Regions from separate parts of the Mus musculus genome. Here regions 2 and 3 are each reported to be linked to region 1. The links are microRNA targets in miRTarBase. Many come from high-throughput screens and were not tested one by one. Region 1 holds a microRNA gene; each other region holds the end of a gene's coding sequence.
Evidence for each region. Region 1 holds the annotated microRNA mmu-miR-301b-3p (CAGUGCAAUGGUAUUGUCAAAGC, at 1,944-1,966, opposite strand). A microRNA usually pairs through its seed, bases 2 to 8, with sites in the 3' UTR of a target mRNA and lowers its output. Matches are read on the target gene's strand: a 7mer-m8 pairs with bases 2 to 8, a 7mer-A1 pairs with bases 2 to 7 and ends in A, and an 8mer does both.

Region 2: miRTarBase lists Mtmr12 as a target of mmu-miR-301b-3p. Seed matches in the 3' UTR shown: 7mer-m8 at 1,385-1,391.
Region 3: miRTarBase lists Ppp1r21 as a target of mmu-miR-301b-3p. The part of its 3' UTR that is shown has no 7-base or 8-base seed match.

Annotation. Positions count from the first base shown.
Region 1 is chr16:17,122,477-17,125,625 of GRCm38, forward strand. Mir301b (microRNA 301b) reads right to left here and starts at 2,020; the gene lies at 1,924-2,020. 2610318N02Rik (RIKEN cDNA 2610318N02 gene) reads right to left here and starts at 2,726. Exons shown (of 7, transcript NM_001358255.1): 1 at 2,514-2,726. Mir130b (microRNA 130b) reads right to left here and starts at 1,666; the gene lies at 1,585-1,666.
Region 2 is chr15:12,269,901-12,272,900 of GRCm38, forward strand. It overlaps Mtmr12 (myotubularin related protein 12), which reads left to right. Exons shown (of 16, transcript NM_172958.4): 16 at 1-2,340. The coding sequence ends at 171. Among named protein-coding and RNA genes, the nearest start is that of Gm52210, 49 kb to the right of the region's middle.
Region 3 is chr17:88,587,122-88,590,121 of GRCm38, forward strand. Ppp1r21 (protein phosphatase 1, regulatory subunit 21) reads left to right here. Exons shown (of 22, transcript NM_028658.4): 22 at 563-1,246. The coding sequence ends at 592. Among named protein-coding and RNA genes, the nearest start is that of Gm31704, 37 kb to the right of the region's middle.

The DNA of each region.
Region 1 (3,149 bases):
ATCCTTTGCGGCCCAGACCTCCCCTGATATGTACATGTAAGATATGTAAGATATGCACATGTAAGATATGTAAGATATGCACATGTTAGGATTCCTAGCACCTCAGGATGGATCTGCTGTGGCAACAGCTGCTGACACACGTCTACCCTAGCCACAAAGGAGTGTGGTTGCTTCTTCCCCATCAAAGCCCTCCGTCAGGCCTGAGACTCATTATGTATCAGAGCAGTCCCCATGGGTGCCAGGACTTGTGGAGCTAGAGTACTATTAAGGCTGATTTTCTCAATCTATTCCCAAAAGGGAATCTGGAAGCCTGGGCCTCCTCTCAAGGAGGCAGGCCTGACCACCTCCTACTAGGTTTTTGTTTGTTTGTAAAAGAGGGGTGGGTGCATTGAAACAGGGCTTTACCATGTAAATATAGCTCTTCTGGAACGTGCAGGGTAGACCAGGTTGTCCTTGAACTCACAGAGATCTACCTACCCATGCCTTCCCTGTGCTGCATTCAAAGGCATGGGCCATTGGGTCTTGCCGCTAAAGGTAACTCTGCAAGCACACTAAGGATCGGGCATCCTTAAAAATTCAGCTCCAGGGCTGGAGAGATGGCTCAGTGGTTAAGAGCACTGTTCTTCCAGGGGTCCTGAGTTCAAATCCCAGCAACCACATGGTGGCTCACAACCATCTGTAATGGGATCCGATGGCCTCTTCTGGTGTGTCTGAAGACAGCTACAGTGCACTCATATAAATTAAATAAATAAATAAATAAATAAATAAATAAAAATGAGCTCCAGCCCTGTCTGGAAAGCAGACATACCAGACACCTCCATGCCTCTCCTACTCAGCACATACCCTCTTTGTAAAGGAGCAAGCAGACATGGCTGGCAGGCCTACTCTGCAGGCTTCTTGTTCCAAGTCCATCCATCTGGCCCAGGCAGGACACTTCTTCTGAGCCTCAAGGTGTGAACCCAAGGTGTGGTTATCTCAGGAAAGGCTGAGTCCAGTTCTTCCCGAGGCAGTCAAGGCTAAGCAAGGTATACAAACCTTTTCCATACAAAGAGGTGAACATCTGTTTCTCTCCACAAGGTCCTGGAGTTCCTAGTTTTGTTTTGATTCTTCAGACAGCTTCAAAACTGAGACAATCTTCCTGCATCAGCCTCCAGACATGGGCTCACCAATCTTTCTTTCTTTTTTAATTGATTAATTAATTAATTAGTTAATTTGGTTTTTCTCAAAACACGGTTTCTCTGTGTATCCCTGGCTGTCCTAAAACTCACTATGTAGACCAGGATGCCCTAGATCTGGGTGATCCACCTGCCTTTGCCTTCCAAGTGCTGAGATTTAAGGCATGAGCTACCTACCATTCACTCACCGCCGCGCCCCCTGCAGCAGACTCCCCTATCTTAACCTGGGGGGAGGGGGCTAAGAGCTTGAGACTGGAGCCTTTCCAAATCTGGGGTCTCCCCTTTGTACTGGTTCCAGCCTTGGAATATGGTTCTCAGCATCCACCTTATCCTTTTAGCTAGAGATAGCTATCTCTATCTAAGACTATGATCCAAGCACTGACCCTTTTGTTCCTCAGGCTCCTTAGCTGGCCCGACAGATGCCCTTTCATCATTGCACTGCTTCCCAGAGGCCCACAGTAGTGCAACAGGGAAAGAGTGTCCAACAAGCCTGTCAGTCTCACGGGGTGGGGCGGGGCATGGGGAGTTGGGGTGGCTGGAGTGGGATCTTAGACCTAGAACGCATGCCCACCTGGGCGGAGCCTCGGCCTGAGCAAAGGATGCCCTCTGACCCCAGAGACACGGGCCTGGCTACAATCTCAAGTTTCCATGGAGAAGAGAGTAAAATGAGCAGGGGGAGGGTACGGCCTGCAGGCCTGAGGGGCCAGGCCTGGAAAGGGAAGAAAGAAGGAACAGTAGGTGAGGTGGTCTTCGAGGCTGGTCCCAGATGCTTTGACAATACCATTGCACTGCTTCTCACAGCACAGTAGTGCAACCTAGTCAGAGCACCCGCAGCCAGCAGGAAATCCATCGCCCTCGCTGCACGCAGGGCTGCGCTGGAAATTCAACCACCATGGGTGGGTGGGACATCTATCCAAGCTCGGAGAACAGACGGGATTCCAGCCCGGATGCAGTCCTCTGGACTTATTAACTTCAGGGAACTCAAACTTTCTCTAACAGGCTTCTGATTCTGGTGAGGTACTCCAAGGAGGGAGCTGAAGGGCGAGCACCCGAGGGGGCTCAAACACAAAGGAGAGAGGCCTGCGCTCAGTTGCAGAGGGGAGCACAGTGGGACTACTTGTACCCTGTTTCAGACCAGAACTAGAATAAGAGGGATACTTCACTCCTTGCACGTGAGGCCCTTGGAGTCCGAGATCCGGTCCTTGGTCCATTCCCCCAGTATGAGTTCTGCACTCTATCCTAACAGATTCTCCTGCCTAGAAGAGCAGAACTAGGGCTTCCTGGCATCTGGAGTTTCCCTGGCCTCACCGCACACCCTATCCCAGACCAGTTACTCACGTGGACAGACACCTCTTGTTCTCACCAGGGGGACAAGGTGAAGCTTAGTGGAAGATCCAGGTAGGCGGCGGCCCCGTCATATCTGGACAACCCCGCACCTCAGCACCTCGTGGCGCCCTCTCTCCCTCGGCTCCATCTTTAACCATCTGACAGTCCCGAGGGCCGAGCCCCGGGCCTCAAGGCACAGCGCCAGCCTCATTGGCTTGCGCCTACACCAAGCTTTGCCTCCTGCGCACCTATTGGCTGCTGCTGGAAAGATTTCAAAATAGCCTCCAGGCTCCGATTGGCCAGGCGCCCGAGTTTTGGCTCCACCGTTTTAACAATGAGTTCTACAAACACTTTCTCCTCATTCATAACTCTTGAAAAGGAGCTCTGTCCGCCTTTTCCCAGCTCATTTCTCTGTAGTTATTATAGTGATACTCATGAGGGCGCGTCCATGCTTACTACACAGCTCACCAAATTAGCGAGGGCTCTGAGATCCCGGCAAAGTGTCCTTTGGCCAAGCCAGCGGTTGAATGAACCCCTAGGGGATGCTTCGTATTTCGCGAGAAATTTGTTCATTGCTCCTCCAGGATGGGACATTTACTTAAAAACCGTGGCCTTCCCTCTTTCTGTCCAACTTCAGAGCATCGTCAT
Region 2 (3,000 bases), not on the chromosome of region 1:
GCACCCGGCCTGCTCAGGAACTCAGTCCGCCTGTCTTCCTTGTTCCCCTTTGCACTGCTCCAGCGACATTCGGCCAAGCCTGTCTTACCCACCAGTGGCTGGAAAGCTTTAGGAGGCGAAGATGACCTGGCCAAACGAGAAGATGAGTTTGTGGACCTAGGGGACGTGTGACCTGTCTCCTCAGGGACTGTGAAAGAGGCACACTGTATGGTGGGACAGTTGTTCCCTGGACTGGTGTCACGGTGTTAGCCCAGTGGTGTGAAGGAAAGAGCAGAGGCTTTTGGGAAGAGAGCTTGTTCTCCTTTTCTTCCACAGTTCTGGAAGACATTCAATGAAAGCCATGCCTCTAGTATGCATAGGACGGAGTTCCTCCTTGACCTGTCATAGGATGGGGTCGTCTCCTGACATCTGTATTATATGTATACAGAATGGCTCACGGCCAGGCTGCTGTGAGAGCTCCCTCCTGTTGTTTCTGTGCCAAGATAATTATGTAGCCATTCCGAACAAGAGGTATTCAGGGATGTGCTTAGACCATAGCATATTCCTTGACTTAAACCATAGCATATTCCAATGCGTGCGTGTACACACACACACACACACACACACACACACACACACACACACGCAGCCCATAGAGAACTTGGACAGTTCTGCTGGTGTCATCCATCCTAATGTTCAGCCCCTCCTTCCTGGGCTGTAACAACACAGGATGCGGGCAGCCTCCTTCCCTTTTCCTTTGCTGTCACTCCCACCTTCCCTTTTCCTGCTCTATGCATACCATCCTATGAGTCTACCTTGGTGTGCATCGTCCCAGGGTCCTGCTGCTGTGACCTGTTGATTAAACTGGGGGCAGTCCTCTGTCTTCCACAGGGGAGCTCATTCCTGGAGCCCTCAGTTTTGACCACACATTTGGCCCTCTGCTCACCACACCTGGACTGTGCCTCTCTGCAGCCCCTCAGCTGGTCCCCTTGCCTTCCCCGTTACCCTCACAGATGCTGGGGTGGGCAGGCCAATTCGAATGTGGCTTTCACAGGAAAGCGGTCGTGTCAGAAGCAGTTATCACTCATATATGCCTCAGCGATGTCAAAAGCCATAGAAGAAACCCAGCTCTGCCTAGTCACCTTGGATCTGCTGTCTTAAAGATATATATTTTTTTAATGTTTGAAAGAATCCTTTGTAAGGCTCAGTCCTATCATTCTCAACAGAGCCCTGTTCAGTCCCACAAACGGTGTGAAGAGTGGGAGTGGGCGAGGGACCTCATTGAGTCTGCCTCAAGTGTTTGCCTTTTATCTATATTTGCTGGTCAGGAGAGGTCCTGTTGAGGGCGTCTCTGTTGCTCATGGGCAATAAGACATTTTGAAACTTCACAAAGAATCCTTTCTGATTGCACTGAATCATCTTTCATACATAATGATAATTTTTCCTCGTCTCCCTCCATAATAATGCACAATCCGGGTTGGTGTGTTGACCCAGCAAGTTGAGGGGAGGTCAGGATTTGTGTTTCTGGGGACAAATGCACTCAGTCTCGGTTGCCTTAAGAGTCTTTCAGGCCAGGTTCGTGCTAGGCTTGCGCTAGGAACTTAGAACACACCAGTCCTTAGCTCCCTCTCCCTGGGCTCCTTGGGCTTCTCTAAACTAGCACTAACCGCCACGCCCTGAGCCTCTGCCACACCCTCAGCCTCTGCCTCCCAAGTCCTCAGCGGAGAGAACTATTTTTGTTACCATATTATAACGTGAATGTTTATATGGTAGACTCTACAGTCTTAGTGATTTTCTTTCCAAAAAATGCCTCTTGTGATGTTTTGTACTTCACAACGTATGGTTTAAAGGCACATGGTCATGACCCTTGGTATAGCAGTTGAATGTGCATTAAAATATTTTTCTATTTTTTTAAATCACAATAGAAAAAGTAAATAAGCTGTTATGACCTGTGTGGTTATGACTTATGTATTTATATTTGAAGCCAGATTTCTATAACTTGGATTTGTGTACAGAACTTCCCGTGGGTTTATATATTGTGTATTTTTATTCAAGATTGAGATGTGGATTATGCTTAACATTAAAAGATACAATAAGACCATTTGTTTAAAACACACTGTGCAAGTTTGGAAGTGTCTGTTAATAATTTACTGTGTATAACACTTGCATTTGTTTATACCTCTATGTTTTTACACTGAAGATAAACTAGCTTTAATTAAATTTTAAAAATTTAAGGGATTAAGCTATTAGACTGAGTCAGCTTCACTGTGCAGTTTATTTTCTGGGTGTTAATGAAAGTTTATACATGTCTCACTGCATTGGAGCTGACTGCAGAGATTAAAGCACAACTTTGAAACAGCGCCATGGTTGGTGTGCACGGTCTGCTCCTAGTTTATCCTCCTCATTCGTTCAGGACTTGATAAACGTGTCCTGGGTTCTGGCAGGCCCCACAGCAGGCAGAGCCCAGGGAAGCACAAAGCTGTGCTTTCCAGGAACCCCCACACCTCCACCCTTTCCTATCCTCTGCGTATATGCATGTATGAACACTCGTGTGGTTGGCTGGTGATAGGCAACCAGCATCCAGACAAATACTCAAAATTCCAAATGATAATAAGATGCTCTGAAGAGGGTTGATGAGATAGATGGCTCAGCAGGTACAGGAACTTGCCACCAAGTCTTAGGGCCCTAGTTCAGTCCCCAGGACCCAACAGAAAGAACTGACCCCTTTAAATTGTCTTGTGACCTCCACACATACCCTCTTGTCTTGTGTCCCCACACAAAGTAAGTAAGTGTGGTTTCTAGCTATCTGAAGACAAGGTAATTGGGTGAGTGAAAGAAAGGGCTTGTGTGTCCTTGAAATGAGCTAGTGCAGCATCTTTGCCCTGAGGGGGGTCGTCTATCATAGATAGATGATGATGTCTCAGTTTGACTTCTTGCTGGAAGGGACCTGAGTTCATAAAGCAGGGAAACCAGCTTTGTTTTTCTTTCCAGATGTGAAAGGTGAGCTTGTCCTGAGCAAAT
Region 3 (3,000 bases), not on the chromosome of region 1:
GGACTTCATTGGAATGCAGTCCTAAGAAGCGACCCTCTCCAGAGAGAGGAGAACGTCGTGAGAGCACCCCGTGAGAGAGCTCTGTGCCACTACTCCGAGCTCTAAAACAGCTCTAAAACAGCGGGTTTCACCCTGCGGCTTGAATGACCCTCTCTCAGGGGCCACCTCAGACCCTTGGAAAACACAGTTACTGACATGACAATTCATAGCAGAAAGGTCGAGAGCCACTGCTCCAAAACCTGTGGATTTAAGCAACAACAAAAATATTTGGGCCAAAACTATTTTGTTTCCTGAAATTTCGTAAGAAAAGGAATTTCGGTAAACTGAGTATTCACCCGCTTTTCTATCTCATCCGCCCTCGGCCCTGGGAGAGATTGGGTCTGGGATGGGGAGCGGGGAGTCAGAAGCTTTGTGATGGCGGAGTGACAGCTGCCACGCAGGCTGTCTGTGTGGGAAGCCACCGTGCTGCACGGCACAGCAAGGCCCCTGGCAGCTTGCTTTGGACGCTGTGAGAACACTTGTGAAACTTGTGTTCTTAGGGTGGACACTTTTCTTTGCACAGGGGAATTCTAAGAAGACCCGGAATCGGTAGTTGATGACCTAGGCTGCCACCGCAGTGACTGTTCTGCCCTGAGACTCGAGCCAGACTCCACAGCCAGTGCTGGTGACCGCTGGGAAGCCGTGTGCCCTTGGACTTGGTAGATGAGCCAGTGCTGTCTGTGACCTGGAGACCTTTGAAGAATATTTGTGAACAGAAGCAAATACAGAGCCCCATGTTGACAGTCAGATGGAAAGCAGTACACATACCCGTGGACATTGTAGGTTTCCTTACGCTGTTTTTACTGTGCACTTTTTAAAATTAGGATTTAATTTCAGTATGTAAGAACAACAAATATTTTGTATATTTTCAAACTCAATTATATGGTAATGGATTTGGTATCTATGGAATAGATATATGTTTCTGGATAAAATGCTTAAATTGTCAGATGTCATTACTTCCTGTATTGTCATTTCTTCCTATAATTGAAAACTGAAAGACATCTCAGATTCCTTTTAAAAGAGTCTCTCCCTTGCCATGTCTCTCCATCCCTTTCCCTCCCCTTCCCCCTTGTCCCTTGAAGGTGACAAGCCTTACAGCCTTCTAGAGCCTATGGGTTCGCTGTCATGTCTGCAGCTGTACAGTACACTCTCTGTGTTCAAATAATTGCTAAAGGAAATTCTGTCAATAAATTCGTACCCACGTGAACTTTTCGGTCTGTGACAGTGTGGTGAGAGACACTGAACCGCATCCGGTCCCAGCTGACTGAGAGGTGGCCTTCTTAACTGAGCAGTTGCACAGGTTAGCCTGTAGGAGACCCTTGGCTTTTGCTGGAGACCACTCTTCAAACAAGGACCCTAAGCCCTTTCAGCTCTCCCTGGACAACCCCAGGGTGCCTCTCCCTGTACCCTACTCCCAAGGCCACAGGCGTGTGCCTTGTGCTCAGTGGCTTATCACGGTCCTGCAGAGAAAAAACCTGAGGGGGCTGGTGAGATGGCTCAGCAGGTAAGAGCACCCGACTGCTCTTCCGAAGGTCCTGAGTTCAAATCCCAGCAACCACATGGTGGCTCACAACCATCCCTAACGAGATCTGACTCCCTCTTCTGGTGTGTCTGAAGACAGCTACAGTGTACTTACATATAATAAATAAATAAATCTTTAAAAAAAAAAAAAAAAGAAAAAGAAAAAACCTGAGGCTTGGAGGGCCAAGGCCACAGTCAGGAGCAGGCGCCTGAGCCTGCTCACCGAGACGCCCGAGACGGCTCTGGTTGGGGCATCACACTCCAGGTGCATTGTATGTGGAGGGTAAAGGATTGAATTTCTCGGTCTCTGAGACTTTATCCAGCTTCCCCTTTCACACCTTTATTCAGAAGCCTGTGCGCTGCTAGCCAGCTTCTTAGATTCACTTCAAGGCTGGATACAGTGTTCCCCTTTGGCATAATTTTTTCTTTTTTAAAAAAAATTCATTAAAAAAATCATGTACATATTTATGTACCTATGAGAGCAGGTGCCTGTAGAAGCCAGCGGCGTAGGGTCCCGTGGGTACTGCTGTGGGTGGTTGTGTGAGCCTTGCTGGGAATAGGGCTCTACAAGAGTAGCAGCCACTCTTAGCTGAGTCTCCAGCCTCTGGCATGATTGTTTTTCTATTCTGACTTAAAAAGAAATTAATTTTTATTTTCTTCTGTATATTACTGCTTCGCCTACAGGTATGCCTACGCACGCACCCCACTTGGGCCTGGTGCCTGCAGAGGCCAAAAGAGTGCATTGAGTCGCTTGGAAGCAGAGTTACAGCCTGTCTGTTGTAAGCTGTCATGTGGGTGTTGCGAACTGAAGCCAGGCCTTCTGCACGAGCAGCAAGTAGTCTTAACCACTGAGCCGCCCCAGCCCCTGACATTTTAAAATACGCATTCTCTCCCATACAAATCTTCCAGTTATCGAAACGAGTTGAGTGGATTTATGCCACTAACTTGGTTGTCATCACTTATTATGAAAGTCTTGAAATAGACATGTCTTAGGGTTTTACTGCTGTGAACAGACACCATGACTAAGGCAACTCTTATAAGGACAACATTTAATTGGCGCTGGCTTACAGGTTCAGAGGTTCAGTCCATTATCATCAAGGTGGGAACATGGCAGCGTCCAGGCAGGCATGGTGCAGGAGGAGCTGAGAGTTCTGTATCTTTATCTGAAGCTGCTAGGAGAAGACTGGCTTCCAGGCAGCTAGGATGAGGGTCTTAAAGCCCATGCCCACAGTGACATGCCTACTCCAGCAGGGCCACACCTTCTAATACGTGGGCCAAGCATATACTGAGGTAAAACAAACAAAAACAGTCCCCCAATCCCCTGCTTACCGTGGGCTCTGTAGAGAGAAAAGCTCTTCCACTCACTGGTTTGGTCTTTATGTTCTCAAATGGCATGTACTTATCCTGTGATTTTTTTTTTTTTTCCTGCTGAGCCCTGGC